Pelodiscus sinensis: one gene and its partner. The protein of the gene in region 1 interacts with the protein of each later gene in a pairwise test. Links are inferred from orthologs where the notes say so. Each region holds a gene or a part of one and is shown in the gene's direction. Other genes may lie near its edges.

What was found.
Region 2: the proteins of BANP (region 1) and SP2 interact in binary tests that used the Homo sapiens proteins (3 or more experiments, as listed by UniProt). The two-hybrid records come from large-scale screens. The link is inferred for Pelodiscus sinensis from reciprocal best matches to the Homo sapiens genes BANP and SP2.

Annotation. Positions count from the first base shown.
Region 1 is NC_134722.1:5,025,453-5,033,006, reverse strand, and holds the start of BANP (protein BANP), read left to right. Parts: upstream 1-4,224; 5' UTR 4,225-4,385; intron 4,386-7,554. UniProt on the Homo sapiens protein: Controls V(D)J recombination during T-cell development by repressing T-cell receptor (TCR) beta enhancer function. Binds to scaffold/matrix attachment region beta (S/MARbeta), an ATC-rich DNA sequence located upstream of the TCR beta enhancer.
Region 2 is NC_134739.1:13,602,933-13,610,489, forward strand, and holds the start of SP2 (transcription factor Sp2), read left to right. Parts: upstream 1-4,171; 5' UTR 4,172-4,318; intron 4,319-7,557. UniProt on the Homo sapiens protein: Binds to GC box promoters elements and selectively activates mRNA synthesis from genes that contain functional recognition sites.

The DNA of each region.
Region 1 (7,554 bases):
AATATTAAAACATCTTCTGGTAGGACACGCTATATAAATAAAGAATGCCATTATTATCTGGAAAGTCTCACTCATTTTTCACTCCTGTTGAAGTTTATGGGAATTTGACCCAAGTTCATATATGAAAATCCAGATCAGAGGAGGTGGGTGGAGGCATGGAAGAAGTGGGAGGATAAAGTTACCTCTTCCACCTGTTATATCTGCCACCACTCCTTCCCATATCCACTGCAGGGATCCCTCTCTGGCTGTGTAAATACTATGGACATGGAGAAATGGGGATTGAGATGGCAAGAAGGATATAAAGACTGTCTTAATAAAAGCTTTATTTAAAAAAAAAAAAAGCAAATTGGCACTGATTATTGTAAAAATCTAAAATAATGCTCCCCAGTAAACTGAGCCAAAAACCGTTACTGGAGTTGATATACTTTTAGCTGGGCCTGTGCCTAGAAGAAGGTTATACCCACAAAAGCTCATGATTCCATATACATTTTTTGTTAGTCTCTAAGGTGCTGCTAGACTATTTGTTGTTTAAGTTTACCACCTAGTGGCCACATTTTGTTTTTAATAATAAGAGATCATAGATATTTCTTACAGGCCCAATCCACCGGACGACAGAGCCACAATCAGCCAAATGCAGCAAGGTATTTCAACTCATTTGCTAGCTTTAGAGCCAAATTCAACAATGACATAAACGGTGGTATAAATAGGTAGAAATATGGATAGTGGGGGAAAGTGCTGTAACTTGTATGGATTTGGGAGTCAGTGGCTGTGCAAAATGAGTGGAACCGATATGTCAAGGGAGGAGAAAAATAACTAAAAGGAATGAGACATCTAAGACATCTATTTCAGAATCTGGCTGTGAGCTTCAAGGCTCTTCTCATGCACCGCTGTTTTACATTAGGCATGTTTATGTGCTACACAGTTACTGGAGAAGAAGATGGTCTCTAAATGCAAAACATAGTCTCAGCCTTACACCCTGGTTCTAGGTCCTTCTCTTCAAGGCAGTGATCTTATCAATTCTTTACCTCAACTCACCACTAGACCTGTCACCTCAGGATCTGCTCCAATCACACTTTAGTAGTTGTGGTGCTGCTGCTTTTGGGGTAGTTAATGTTGCACGATGCCAGCGGCTGTCATCCCTGCTCATGGAAGCAGATCCGCTCAGATCCCCCTGTTTATTTGCTTCTTCTTTTCCCATGATTATGGTGCTCCATGATCCCCGCACTCCCCATGATACCTCCCACATAGACTGACCAGCTGCCCAATTTTTAAAGGGGCAGTCCCATATTTAAGCCTTCCTGCAGGTGTCCCCACTTTTTCTTAAAAATGAGCAAATTGTCCTATATTTTCTTTCTCTTCCTCCCATCAGTACCGGTGGGTCCTACTCAGTGTTTTCTCTAAGTTGTGAGGCTGTATCGCTTCACAGGTGATTAATCAGCCCTGCCGAATCAAAGGCTTAGGGCTCCATGCACAGAGCTGACTGACTGGGCGGGACTGATTAATCAGCTGTGAAGCTTAGAGGGCACAACTGGCTCTACTACTGGCCAGTATCCTTGCTCACTAGCCATCCAACCACCAGTGGTGAGTGAGGAGGCGAGGGGATGGGACGGGGTCCAGTGGCTGACGACGGAGTTGAGTGTGTGAGGCTCGTGGTCAGCTAAAGCTGCAGCATGTGTGGCTAGTTGTTCTTCCTACTTGTCCATCCATGGAGTCCCTTCTGCATGCCAACTCCTGGCCAGCAGGCTGCCCCGCCCTATTGCCAGCCAGCTCTGGCTGCTCGCTCCAGTGGCTGAGGAACATGGGCAGGTAGTGGCTAGTTACGTGCCACCTCTGCTGCCCACCCAATGGCCATTTACATGCTTCCCATCTCACTGTCCTCTCCCTGCTGTGCCTGTTCACTCCCCCCCCCCCCCCCGCCCGCATTGTTGTTGCTACATCTCCCTCCTGGTGAGGCACATCCCACTCCCGGCACTGTGCAGAAAACCAGCCACTGCCTGGTCAGATCATTCATCTTACCAATAGCCTGGCTTCCCTCACTGCCTCCGGCTGGTCTTGCACCCAGGGAAAGGTCAAGATCCTCTGGCCTAAGGCACTGCCCAGGAAGAGCCGAGACCTTCATGCGCCAAAGCCCTTCACACCGCCGGCATGAGGAAGCTTCTCTGCTCCCTGGATAAGCTCTGGAGTGGCAGGGAGGAAGCTGCTTCCAGCTTGTTTGTTCCTCATCCCTGCAGGTCCCCAAGCAGGGTGCTTAGCAGCCTCTTCACATGCCCTAAGTCCTGTCCCTAGGGAGTGCTGGGCTGCTTTGTCCCCTGGGCACTCTCCCCTGCTGAGCCCCCTCTCTGGCCAGGTTGGCTGATGCCCCTGCAGCCAGGTTTCCTGGATCCTGGTGCGCAAGGCATCCTTAAGGCTTAACCCCTTCCTGTCTGTGCTGTCACCAGGGACAGGAGGCAACTGGGGGCTGTGTCCGTGACCAGCAGCAGCTTGGAGGTGTCAGTTGCCTTTCTACATGGTGCTGGCAGGAAGGGACAAGCTGCTTCTAACCATAGGGGAGAGGGTGGGAGGGAAGAAATGACCACTGGAAAAACATGAGCCAGGGCATCCCCACTCTCTCTCCTCTTCAACTGGAAGCAGCTCCCCTCCCTTCCCTCCTGCACAGTGACGAAAGGCTGCTCTTTGCCATGTTCTGGTATGAACTCCAACAGAAATCTGGGGAGGGGACCTGTGACCCTGCATGCCTCCAAATGTTGTCCTGAGAAGGTGTACCAGGAGAGATGGATCTGTCCCAGGAGGCCTAGCCAGGCGTGAAGGGTAGAGAGCACTGGATAGGGAGGGTTGGGTCAGGTCTGTCAGTTACCCCCATCTCTGTGTGAGAGGAGTGTACAGGAATGTGTGCATGTCAACTTTCCTTGTGCAAACCCTGAAAATAAGAAAGTAAAAAGATTCTAGCTATGTGGTATTTCATTTTAACAGGGTCTCAGTCAACCTGAGGTTAATTTGAACATTTGTACTGCATGGTTCTGATTGATTGTCATTGAGCTCTCTTGAATATGAGTAATGTTACCAGGTGTTCCATACTCAGCTTAGGGAAATATGGTCACCCTACTCTGACAGCTATTCTTGCCTGTTGCTGTCTCTAATATGCAGAATCCATATGGATTGGGAGCAGGCCTGCTGAAGTGCTATACCCTTCTACCGGGCTACTGCTGCTCAGTGACTCCGGGATCCTCTTGTGGAAGCAGCATATTGTCCCAGTTTTCTATGTCACCATGGCATACTGAGTGCTGCTAACCCCAGATCTCTTATTACCATCTAACAACACTGAGACCACTTGCAGAAAGAATAACCAGTCTGCTCTACAGCCTTTGCTAAAAAGAAGCTAACTTTTAGCTCATGCAGTAGATGCACTGAGCTCCAGAGGTGTCAGGTTCAATTCCATCTGTAGACAAACGAGGTCTGTATGTGTCACAAAGACCGGGTTTTGCAAAACCCCATGGCTGTGTCTAGATTTTGCAGAAAAACTTGCCAGCTGTCTACACTGGCCGCTTGGATTTCTGGAAAAGCACTGTCGATCTCATATAAGATCGTCAGTGCTTTTCCGGAAATATTATGCTGCTCCTGTTTGGGCAAAAGTCTTTTTCCAAAAGACTTTTGCGCAAAAAGGCCAGTGTAAACAGCACAGTACTATTTTCCGCAAAAAAGCCCCGATTGTGAAAATGGCAATCAGGGCTTTTTTGTGGAAAACCGCGTCTAGATTGGCCATGGACGCTTTTCTGCAAAAAGTGCTGTTGTGGAAAAGCATCCTGCCAATCTAGACGTGCTTTTCCAAAAATACTTTTAACGGAAAACTTTTCCGTTAAAAGCATTTCCGGGAAATCATGCCAGTGTAGACATAGCCCATGATACCAGATCCAAACCAGAAAAATGGGTATGGTCCGTTTCCAGCAACAGCCAGACACACAAGCCCGCCTGTGACTCAGTGTGGTGGTGAGAGGAGGGGGTGTAATTACCAAGGGTGACACCACACTGGCATAAAATGGGGCTAGAAAACGCAGGGCCTTTTTGGACTACAACTCCCAGCAGGCACGGGGGCACGCTACGGTACTACACATCCCAGCCTGCCTCTTGGGAGCACAGGCCTCGCGCACGGGCGTCTGGGAGTTGTAGTCAACATCGGCCTTGCGGCGGTTAAGGGCGGTTTGCGGGGAGGCTTCTCTAGGCGGCTGCGCGAGCCTCTCGAGGAGGGCGGTGGCGGGGCGCGAGGGAAGGAGCGGGAGCGGCGCGGCGGCGCAGCGCCTGCGCAGTGAGGACGCGGAGATCTCTCGCGAGGAAGGACGCCATTATCGCAGCCGCTCGACAAACACCACGAGAATTCGTCACCACACACGGTAACCGCGGCTCCCCGCGGCCGGCTGGCTGGGGCCGGCCTCTCTGGGGCCTGAGGGCCGGGGCGCGGCACGGCTGCCCCGCTCCTCACCGCCTTGGCCTAGCAACCGGGCCGCGAGCGAGAGGCGCAGGGAGGGGCCCAGCCGGGGGGGGCTCTCCCCCAGCTGGGGGCGCTCTCCCCCCGCCCCTCCTGCCTGTGGGCTCTGGTGACTCTCCACTCCCCCCCCCTCGCCCCGGCGGACAGGCCCCCGCCCCGTGGGGCTGCACTGTGGTGGGGTCTCTGCGGGGGGGGCTTCCCCCCCCCCGTGTGGGGCTCTGGCGGGGGGTGTCTCTGCGTTCCCCCCCCGCCGCACTGTGGGGGAGGGGCTGTTCGCTGCCCAACCCAGTGCTGTCCCACTATAGTCCTAGGAGGGGTGGGGCTCAGACCCCCCCCCCAGTGGTTGCAGGGCTAGCGTTAAGGGGAGATTGCGCTACTTTATTCCTTCCCCCACGGGTAGCACTACCCGCGGGGGGGGGGCTGCCCCACCATAGTCCTCAGTCCCACTATGTCCATGGCTGCAAGGCTAGCATGGGGGGCACCCTACATTTATTCTCCCATGGGTATCACAATCTTGAGGGAGCCGCTCTGTGGTTGCGATACTCTTATCAAAAGGGCTGGTGAGGCAGATGTAATTCCTTTCCCCTCCACCCCAGCATAGCACATACACTACATGGTGAGTTTTTTGGGAAGGGACACTTTTTTTTTCCTCCAGGGGCACCTTCTACGCTCAAAATGGATTGTAAATAAAAATTGAGAGGCTGTTCGCCCCCCTTTTCTTCGCCCCAAGTGTCACTTGTGTACTTTTGTAAATGGAAAGAGGTTGGGGCTTAGACGTACTGACAGCTGATTGCACAAATGATATAGTGGATCTTAGAGGGGGTAGCTGTATTAGTTTGTAACTTGAAAAGCAAGTTGTCCTGTGGTATGTTAGAGACTAACAAAACCATATAGGCTCATGAGCTCTTGTGGGAAAAGCGGCGAGGAGTCCTGTGGCACCTTATAGACTAACTGAAGTGTTGGAGCATAAGCTTTGTGGGCAAAGACCCACTTCGTCAGATGCATGTCTTGTGGGAAAGGCTCACTTCATCAGATGAGTTGGAGTGGAAATAACAGAAACAGATACATAACGAAGTACATGCCAATTTTTTTCATGCCATTATTTGCAAGTGCAATTCTTTTGAATTGATACTTTCTGAACCAGTGTGCACTTAGCCATCAGATGTTTTGTCCTCTTGTCTTTGGAATATTAACATGTTTTTAAAGATTTTTTTCCCTCCTTATATGGTGAACAGTACTAAACTTATAACCAAATTTTACTAGGGGGCTTTATAATTTATATAGTCATTTATTTTTAGTATTCCCAAGAGAAGAATTTTGTTCTTTTAAAAGAAGCACCTATTTAAATGGGCATTTGGAAACTGAAAAAAAAACAACCCTTCGTTTTCTGAAAAAGTTTTGCCTGCTATTTTTACTGATAATTCCTAGTAATACAAGGGAAAGCTTGAGCATTTTGTTTGCTACTTCTCCAGTTAACTTTGTTTAACCTTCCTTTCTGTATAGTTAGTTTCAGTTTAAATACAGTTTCTTTTTTGTAGTTTTTATAGAGAAACACTTTAAATGTGTCTGTAAAACCATCAAAATGTGCAGGGGAAGAATGGTACTTGAAACTATTTTTAAGTCTTGAACACTGCAACTTGAGTTTCCCTTTATTTTCTTTGAATAAAACATTAATTCATTTAAATAGATGTTAAATGAATGTTGTATAAAATCTATCAATAGTTCTAATTGATCATGAAACCCTGTAGTCAACTTCAGTAAGTACATCACTCTGTATTTTAACTTACTAATTCTATTTGCAATAATACATTCAATGATGTCAGATAGGAAAAACTCGATAAATTGTTAGAGCACTTAAAACATTGAATTTAGTTTTCATAGATGTAAACATCCTCTCTTTCAGAAAGTCTTTTGCACATTTTGTGTTTTGATTTGTCCCAAAATCTTATTTATGGTAACTTGTAGGTTAACATCTTTGAGATCCTGTCACATTTAATTCATCAAGTGGCACCAGCCAGGCCTAAAATTGTAAGGCTCTTGAAGAGATTAGTTATGTTAATGCCTAATAGTATCACGCTATTCCACTGGACATTCTGCTGTCTGATATTATATATGATTAGGATTCAACTAGTGTAATTTCTTCTAAACAATTTGTTTGAAATAGTCCAGTACTTAGGTTCCCTGGACAAAAATAAGACTTTTCTGTGGCACAAAAGATGTTTTTACTGATTTCCACTAATTAGCTAAGGAAAGATTAAATGTATAAGAAGAGTATTCAAGGTTGTCCTGATTAAGATCATGATTCTACAATGAGTGCTGTGTAGCTTCAGTCTACATTAACCAAATTGCAATGATTTACATAGGCAAGTTGTAGGTTTTTTCTACCCGTTTTATGGTCACATGAAAACAAATGAGATGAATTCACAGAACGAGTGTATTCTCATCTCTTTATTACAACTTCCAGACTCTAATATTTTTTACCGAGATATTGTTTAAGTTGGAATTTTGGTGGTTCACATAAGAAATGTATAGAAGGATACTTCCCAGATTAAAGACAACCATTTGTTTTTAATATTGGGTGGAGATGGGAATTTGTCTGCACACACAGAAGCACACACAAAAGTAACACTACAAAAACATTCTGCAAGTTTTTGGAATATAGTGAATCTACCAGGCCAACCAATGCAGTATTGTCACAGGAATATATAGAAACCTACCAGCCAAATATTTTTTTGTTGTTTAAAGCAGTTACACTGTACATACTAAACTCACTTCTAATAAAATCTTTTTCTCATGGGTATAATTACTCTTGGCCTAATTCGAAATAGCTTATTTTGGCGTTGTTTACACCTCAGGAAGTCAGAGTTAGTTAAAGCACTCTTCCTCCGACTTCCCTCACTCCTTGTAAAATGAGGGTTACAGGAGCCATAGTAAGAAGTCCTCCAACTCACCATTATTTCAAAATAATGGCTTGTAGTGTAGATGTGCACTAACCTTACTCCGAGATAACGCTACTGTGTAGACATAGCTTCAGTGCCCTCTATCATTATAGATTGTTCTTCAGTTTAATTGTT
Region 2 (7,557 bases), on another chromosome or scaffold:
CCCCCCCAAACAAGGCGCTGGCCGAGGGAGCGGGACGCTCCCCCACCCTGTGCCTTTGGGACGCCAGAGGAGTGTGGACTTTTGGGGAGATTCGTGCCCCGAGGTCTAGGCCAGCCAGGGCCTCCCCTGAGTCTCTCCGTCACTCGGGCCCTGGGCCCCTCCAATTCTCCTGCCCCCCACCTCGCCCTGAGGCTTTAAGGGCTCAGGGAGCCAGCAGTGTGTGGGAGGAAGCTCCTGTGTTCAGCCCGTTAGGCCGTGGTCCCGTGTGGGGCAGGTCGGGACCCGCCTTCCCCACCGCAGCCAGCAGGTCGAGATCAAAGCCCGGGCGCCCGCCGGAATCCGAGCAAAACTCTGCCGTGGGGAAGCCAGTTCCAGGAACGGGGTGGGGGGGGGGTGTGCAGCTGGGAGCGAGCGCTGTGCCCAAATGCCCCCTCTCTCTGGGTTGGGGGGGAGGGGCTTGGTTGCACCCCCCCCCAAACTCCAGGAAGAGCTGGCTCACTTTGCAGGACCCCGGCGTCCCATCTCAGCCCTGCCAAACCCGGCGGGCCACTGCTGGGCTGCTCCGTGGAGGAGCCTGCAACCCCGCCTGCCCCTGCCGGCTACAAGCATCGGGGGCAGGGTGGCGAACAGCCCCTTCTGCCGACCCCCCGCCAGCCTTCCTGCCCCCACAGCCCCTCCCCCTGCAGAGCCGCTGCCCACTCGGTGCTCGGGCTGCGTAGGGCACCAGAAGTCACAAGGAAGGCCCAGGCTAGGCGGCAGGCCATGGGGCGGCGTGCTCGGTCCGCTGCAGAACCGAACCCTCGTGTGTGGCAAGCAGGCGGCTGTCCGGACGCAGGGGCCTGCGGGTGAGACACGCACAAGAATAAAGTCCTGCTGCTGGGGATCTGATGGCTCTTCCCCCAGGAGGCCGGGGGCACAGCACAGCGGCTGTCAATGACAGTCCAGCCTGGAACCCGCTTCTGCTCCTCCGCCCCCATGATCCTGCCCTACAGGAGCCCACATGCACCTTTGCGTCTGGCCCGTTGGCAGCTCCCACCTTGCTCTTTCTCTTGGTGTCCTGGGAGCTGGGTCGGCCCATTGAGGGAGGAGCCAGGCTCTGGGACAGACGGCCCCAGCGAGTTCTGTTGAACACAAGAACCTAAGAGCGGCCTGACCGGGTCAGAGCAAAGGCCCATCCAGCCCAGTGTCCTGTCGGCCCACAGTGGCCACTGCCAGTGCCCCAGAGGGAGGGAACAGAACAGGGAATCCTCACGGGATCCCTCCCCTGTGATCCATTTCCAGACAAACAGCGGTTACGGACACTGTTCCTACCCCTCCTGGCTAATAGCCGTTGATGGTCCTAACCTCCGTGAATGTATCTAGTTCTTTTTTGAACCCTGTTAAAGTCCTAGTCTTCACCACATCCTCTGGCGAGGAGTTCCACAGGTTGACAGTGCACTGCGTGAAGAAAAACTTCCTTTGGTTCATTTTAAACCTGCTGCCTGTTAATTTCATTTGGTGACCCCTAGTTCTTATACTGTGGCAATAAGAAAATAACTTTTCCTTATTCACTTTTTCCACACCAGTCATGATTGTATAGACCTCTATCCTATCCCCCCTTAGTCTCCTGTTTTCTAAGCTGAAAAGTCCCAGTCTTTTAAATCTCTCTTCTTATGGGACCCGCTCCAAACCCCTCAGCATTTTTGTTGCCCTTTCCTGAACCTTTCCCAATGCCAGTAGATCTTTTTGAGATGAGGCGACCACATCTGTGCGCAGTATTCCAGATGTGGGTGTCCCATGGTTTTATACAGAGGCAATAAGATATTCTCTGACTTATTCTCTATCCCTTTCTTAATGACTCCTAACATTCTGTTTGCTTTTGTGACGGCTGCTGCACACTGAGTGGATGTTTTCAGAGAACGCTCCACAATGACTCCAAGATCTCTCTTGAGCAGTTGTAGCTAAATTAGTCCCCATCTAATGGGAGCAGGATCAGGCCCTTAGGTTTAAGCTCTTCAAGGAAGGGGTCATCTTTTTGTTCTGTGTTGTCTAATGCCTAGCGCAGTGGTGTCCTGGGTCAGGCCAGAGGCTAGTAAGTTACTGCAGTATAGCTAATATAATCATAAATATCACCAGGGATTGAGTTTATGATTTTTATTGGTGGGCAAGAACATGTATGATTAATCCATACCCATTAATATTGGATTCGTGTGGTACCCAAACATGTGCTAGGGCAGTGTTTCCCCACCAGTGGTACAAGGACCCTTAGGGGTACTCAACAGAAGTCTGGGGGATACGTCACCACAACTGAAATTTGAAGAAAACTGAATTTTTGTTTTACTTTTTACAGCGTTTGTACTTTTTTACACCCAAAAATGTCATCGCCTGCCTGCCTACGATTAAGTTGTTTAAACAGATGGGTTGCAATGGTAGAAAAAAAAATGTGTGTGTCTGAAAACTGTAGGTATGGGGAGGGGGGTACTTATAATTTTTTTAAAGGGGTACTTACTTTTTTTTTAAAAGAGGGTACTTTATAAAAAAAGGTTGAGAAAAAAGGCCCTGTGTTCTCTTTAAATTGTTGTGAGAATGCCCAGAGCAATCAGATGGGCCCTTACTATTATAAAGAGAAAGGAAGGAAGAACAAACGCATAGAATATGTTTTCCCTGTGTTTCCAGACTCTGGGCAGACCGCATGGTTGGCAATCACAGTGTCACATAGGATAGAACGAGTACTGCAAGAATCCTGAGAACCGATTTGCAAATTCTCAAGTATTTGACTCCCTCTGGAGTTTCCGAATGACCTCTTCAGCCAGTTTCAACTGACTAGTTTTCAAGAGCCTCCACCCCAGTCCTGCTCCATTCCATACAAGGGATGATGGTAAGTCAGGTCTAGCTGTTGCACGTAAACATGAGCCTCTGTCCATACTCTGGTCACGTCACACTGGGAGCTGCTAGATTCGGAACATTTGTAAAAATCTGCTCCTTGTTTAGATGCCGCAACAGGAGTTGAAATCTTTTGAAAAATCTGTTTCCAGTTTTGTGTGCTGAATATTGGACAATCTTGCCCTTAGCTCTGTTGAGTAGTAGGCCTCAGGAATAGAGCCAGGAACAGGACAATGGATTTTAAAAAGCAAAGTTCCACCTTTCCCTTAACTTCCTTTTCCTTGCTCTTAGATTGTGGGCGCCTGGCAGCGAGGACAGTTCTTGAGTATCTGGATAGCACCAGTGCCTCAGTGGGCAGCACAGTTCATAATACTGTCCTAGGTGTTCGATAGCTTCAGAGGGGTAGCCGAATTAAGTCTGTAACAGGAAAAACTTAAAAACCAAGATATAGTCTGGTAGCACTTTAAAGACTAACAATCTACACGTTTCGTTAGTCTTTACCGTGCTATCAGTCTATTTGCTGCTTTCTTATGTGTTTAATGTTACGAATAGCACCCCCTTGATTACATATTAATAAGTAACTTCCTTCATCGCACGGGATCCCAGAGCACTTTTTGTACCAGGAGGGCCGGGCTGTACGGAAATGCAGCCACCTCTAGGGTGCAGTGGGGCTACTGGCTGCAAAAGTGGCTGGTGAGGCGGGTGGGTGAGATGTTGCAGGGGGGCTCGGCAGCCACAAACCCATTGGGTTAGTCACTGGGAGCATGGGGGGGGGCTCAGCCCCAGCTGGCTGCCCACCATCTGCAGCCAATCTGGAACAAGTGCTGGCCATTGGAAGAGGGGGAGGGGAACAGCCAGGGAAATGCAACCACCTCTGAGGCGGAACAGCTGTCGCTGCTATTAACCTTCCAGAATTCAAGGCCCAGCTGATTGCGAGGAGCCAATAGGAGGAGGCACTGGATAGCGTCGTTCTTTGATTGGTTAAGGAACCTATCAATCTTGTTCTTCAGTGTCCAATCGTGGAACACTACTGAAAAAAATCCCGCCTACTTTAAGTCCACTTCTCCCCCCCCCCCACAGCTGTCAATCAATTACTAGTGGGCGAAAGTCTGGTCTCCCGTCTACTGGTAAGCAGCGCCGTCAATCAGACATCGGCCCTCTTATTGGTTCTCCGCGGCCGTCCGTCATTCTCAAATCAGCCCTTCATTGGTGCGGCTGGCGTTCCATCACTGGGGCCGATTGACCGCGGCGGACGTCAGTCAGGCGATAGCGGAGCCCGATTGGCCCGCCCGAGGCGGCCTGCGCTGCCATTGGCTGGGAGGCGCGCGGGTCGGGCGGGGATTGGCCGTGCGGGCGCTGAGGGGGCGGGCCGCTCAGGGCGGTGCCCGGGCGGCCGAGGAGGAGGAAGATGGCGCCGTGAGGGGGTCGGAGCCGCCGCCGCCTCCGCTCCAGCCGGGTCTGTGCAGGCCGCGCGCGCCGCTGCCCCGGGCGGGGGGCGGGGCGGGCAGGTCGCGGGAGCCCCGCCCCGAGGCCCGCGGACGGGGGGGCGGGGCGCGGGGGAGGGGCCGGGCCCGGGGCCCCGGAGCCGGGGGGGGAGGGGCCCCGACCCTGCTGCAACGGGGAGCCGGAAGGGGGCGGGCGGCTCGGGCGGGCGGCGCTTCCGGGGCCCGGGAGGGGGCGGGACGGGCGGCGTTGGCCCGCCTCCCCGGGGACCCGCAGCCTGCGGGAGGGGGGAGCTTGCAACCCGCCCCCCCCACGTGCATTGGGCCGGGCACGGGGGGGGGGGCAGGGAAATTTGCATAGCCCCCCCCTGTGCATGGGGGCACCAGGCACGGGGGCAGGGAGGTTTGCATGCCCCCCCCATGCATTGAGCCGGGCATGGGGGCACCAGGCACGGGGGGGCAGGGAGATTTGCATAGCCCCCCCCTCTGTGCATGGGGGCACCAGGCACGGGGGGGCAGGGAGATTTGCATAGCCCCCCCTCTGTGCATGGGGGCACCAGGCACGGGGGGGCAGGGAGATTTGCATAGCCCCCCCCTCTGTGCATGGGGGCACCAGGCACGGGGGGGGCAGGGAGATTTGCATAGCCCCCCCCCTCGGTGCATGGGGGCACCAGGCACGGGGGGGCAGGGAGATTTGCATAGCCCCCCCCTCTGTGCATGGGGGCACCAGGCACGGGGGGGGGCAGGGAGATTTGCATAGCCCCCCCCCTCTGTGCATGGGGGCACCAGGCACGGGGGGGCAGGGAGATTTGCATAGCCCCCCCCCCTCTGTGCATGGGGGCACCAGGCACGGGGGGGCAGGGAGATTTGCATAGCCCCCCCCCTCTGTGCATGGGGGCACCAGGCACGGGGGCAGGGAGGTTTGCATGCCCCCCCCATGCATTGAGCCGGGCATGGGGGCACCAGGCACTAGGGGGGCAGGGAGGTTTGCATGCCCTCCCCCCTTGGTGCATTGGGCTGGGCATTGGGAGGCACTAGTGATCGGCAGGGATTAGGGAGATTTGCGTGGCCCCTCGTGCACTGGGGGCATTGGGATTGGCCGGGGGTGCGGCGGTTTGCTTTGTCCTCACTGCATTTTCCTAGGGAGAGGAACAGTGGGGTCAGGGTTTGTATGGTCCAAAGTGCACTGAGGTGGGTGTCGGGGCTCATGGCACCTACGGGCATGGTGAGGCACCTCAGGGAAGGAGATAAGCAGGGTGCCCGAGGGGATTGATCTGGAATGTGTTTCCCTGCTGTACATGGGGTAGGATGGGATGACACTGGCGGAGTCAGCAGGGGTGCATGGGGCCTCAGGGATCCTTGGTGCCTGGGTGCATAGTGCTGGAGCATCTCCCCTGCTTTGGGAGCCACAGGGTGCAGCAGGACTGATGCTGATGGAAGTCTTTGTTGGGCCTGATCCCTGTGTCATTCCTTGATACCGCTGGAGTCCCAAGGGCTCCATCGAACACATTTTTACCGTCAAGCAGTTAAAATTCCTGCACCCTCCATATATCTCCTCCTGTCTTGATAGGGAGTCTGAGAAGTACAGAGTTAGAGACCAGAGTGTGGGACCAAGTAGCTCAAGACAGTATCTTTGTGTTGGGTCTGTGTTAAGTCTGCGTATGGAGAGAGGGGTGTGTGTGTGCGCATGTGTGCTCGCTGTCTGGAAGCTATTCACCTATAGAACATGGCATCTATATTGTAAAAACACCAGTAGCCACATGTACGCCCACTGTTACAGTACTATGATGGGGGATTTCTGTAAAAAAGTCTATTGAGCACAAAGCCGTAGAGCAGACTTATGTATAGCAAAGTAAAAGGCTTGTGTCGTCTCAGTGCAGCCTGATGTGCCTGCCGGTTGCACGTTTGATGATAGTGAAAACTTTCTTTGAGGGGGAAAAAGCAAGGTGTTAAAAAAATCAGACTTGATAAAGAAACTCCAAACTACCACATTGAAGTTTTGGTGCTAGAGGAATCACTCAGGTTAAACATTGTATCTTAAACAATTTGCCTCGCTGATAAGCACTTAAGAGTATTTAAGGGGGTGCTGATTAGTTGAAATAAACACATTTTAAAAAATCATTTTTGCTAGAGAACACCCTTTGAATTCCTGGGGGGAAAATGTATATATACATTTTCAGTTCCCTGGTAGGTATTTATAAGGGCCTTATCATGTATAACTTATTAGGCATATGTTTTACAGGAAGGGGAATTAACCACTGGAAGGCCCTATCTAAGGCTGCATTTGAGTCTTTGTCACTTCAGATTTCTAATAAACCAGGATTGGATTTTCTTTCTCAAGTGTATGCGCCAGTCTAGCTCAACCAGAAGTTGTGGTTTGATGCAGAAACCGCTTGGTGAAATTCTGTGGCCTGTGTTGTTCAGGGGGCCAGACTAAATGATTGCATGGGTCTCTTTGACCTGAAATTCATAACATTTGTTTCTCCTTTGTACTTAGTGAGTCTCAACTTTTTGAGACAGCTGTGCGCCTGTCAAGAGTCTGATTTGTCTGAGTACGCCAGGTTTCACCTCGCTTAAAAACACCTGCTCGTTTACAGATTGACATAAAAATACAAAAGGGCCACAGCTCACTAGTACTGAAAAATTGATGGCGTTCTCATTTTTGCCAAATAATTATAAAATCAATTTGAATAAATAGTGGTCTGTACATTGCAGTGTATCGTATATAGAGCAGTCTGAACAACTCATTGTAAGACCTGTTAGATTGTAATGGCTTCGCTAGAACTTCTCATGTAGCCTGTTATAAAACTAAGCAAATAGCTCGATGAGTTGGTGTACCCCCAGGAATATGTTTCCCTGATTGAGAGCCATTGCTCTACAGGGTAACGATGAAACCATCTAAACACAAAGGGCTGGTCAATCCACAGAGTAAATACCCTGGACAAATACTTTTCCTGTCACTTCTTTTTGGCTGTGTCTACACTTAAAATGCTCCAGCAGCACAACTGCCGGGCTGCGAGGGAAGTGCTTCAGTGTAAATGCTCGCTAACCATTTCACACAGTTCTAAGTGCTCCGCTAGCCTTTCGTTTTGGGCCCAGTCTACCTGGCGTGCCTCTTCGCTATAGAACCAGAGCTCTGCTCAGCTACCAAGTGCATCTTGGTAAAGAGTGAGAGTCTCCAAGCATCTTGTGGACACTAAAGAAATAATAAATAACGGTTGTGCAGAATGCCGGTTGAGAAATAAAATGAATT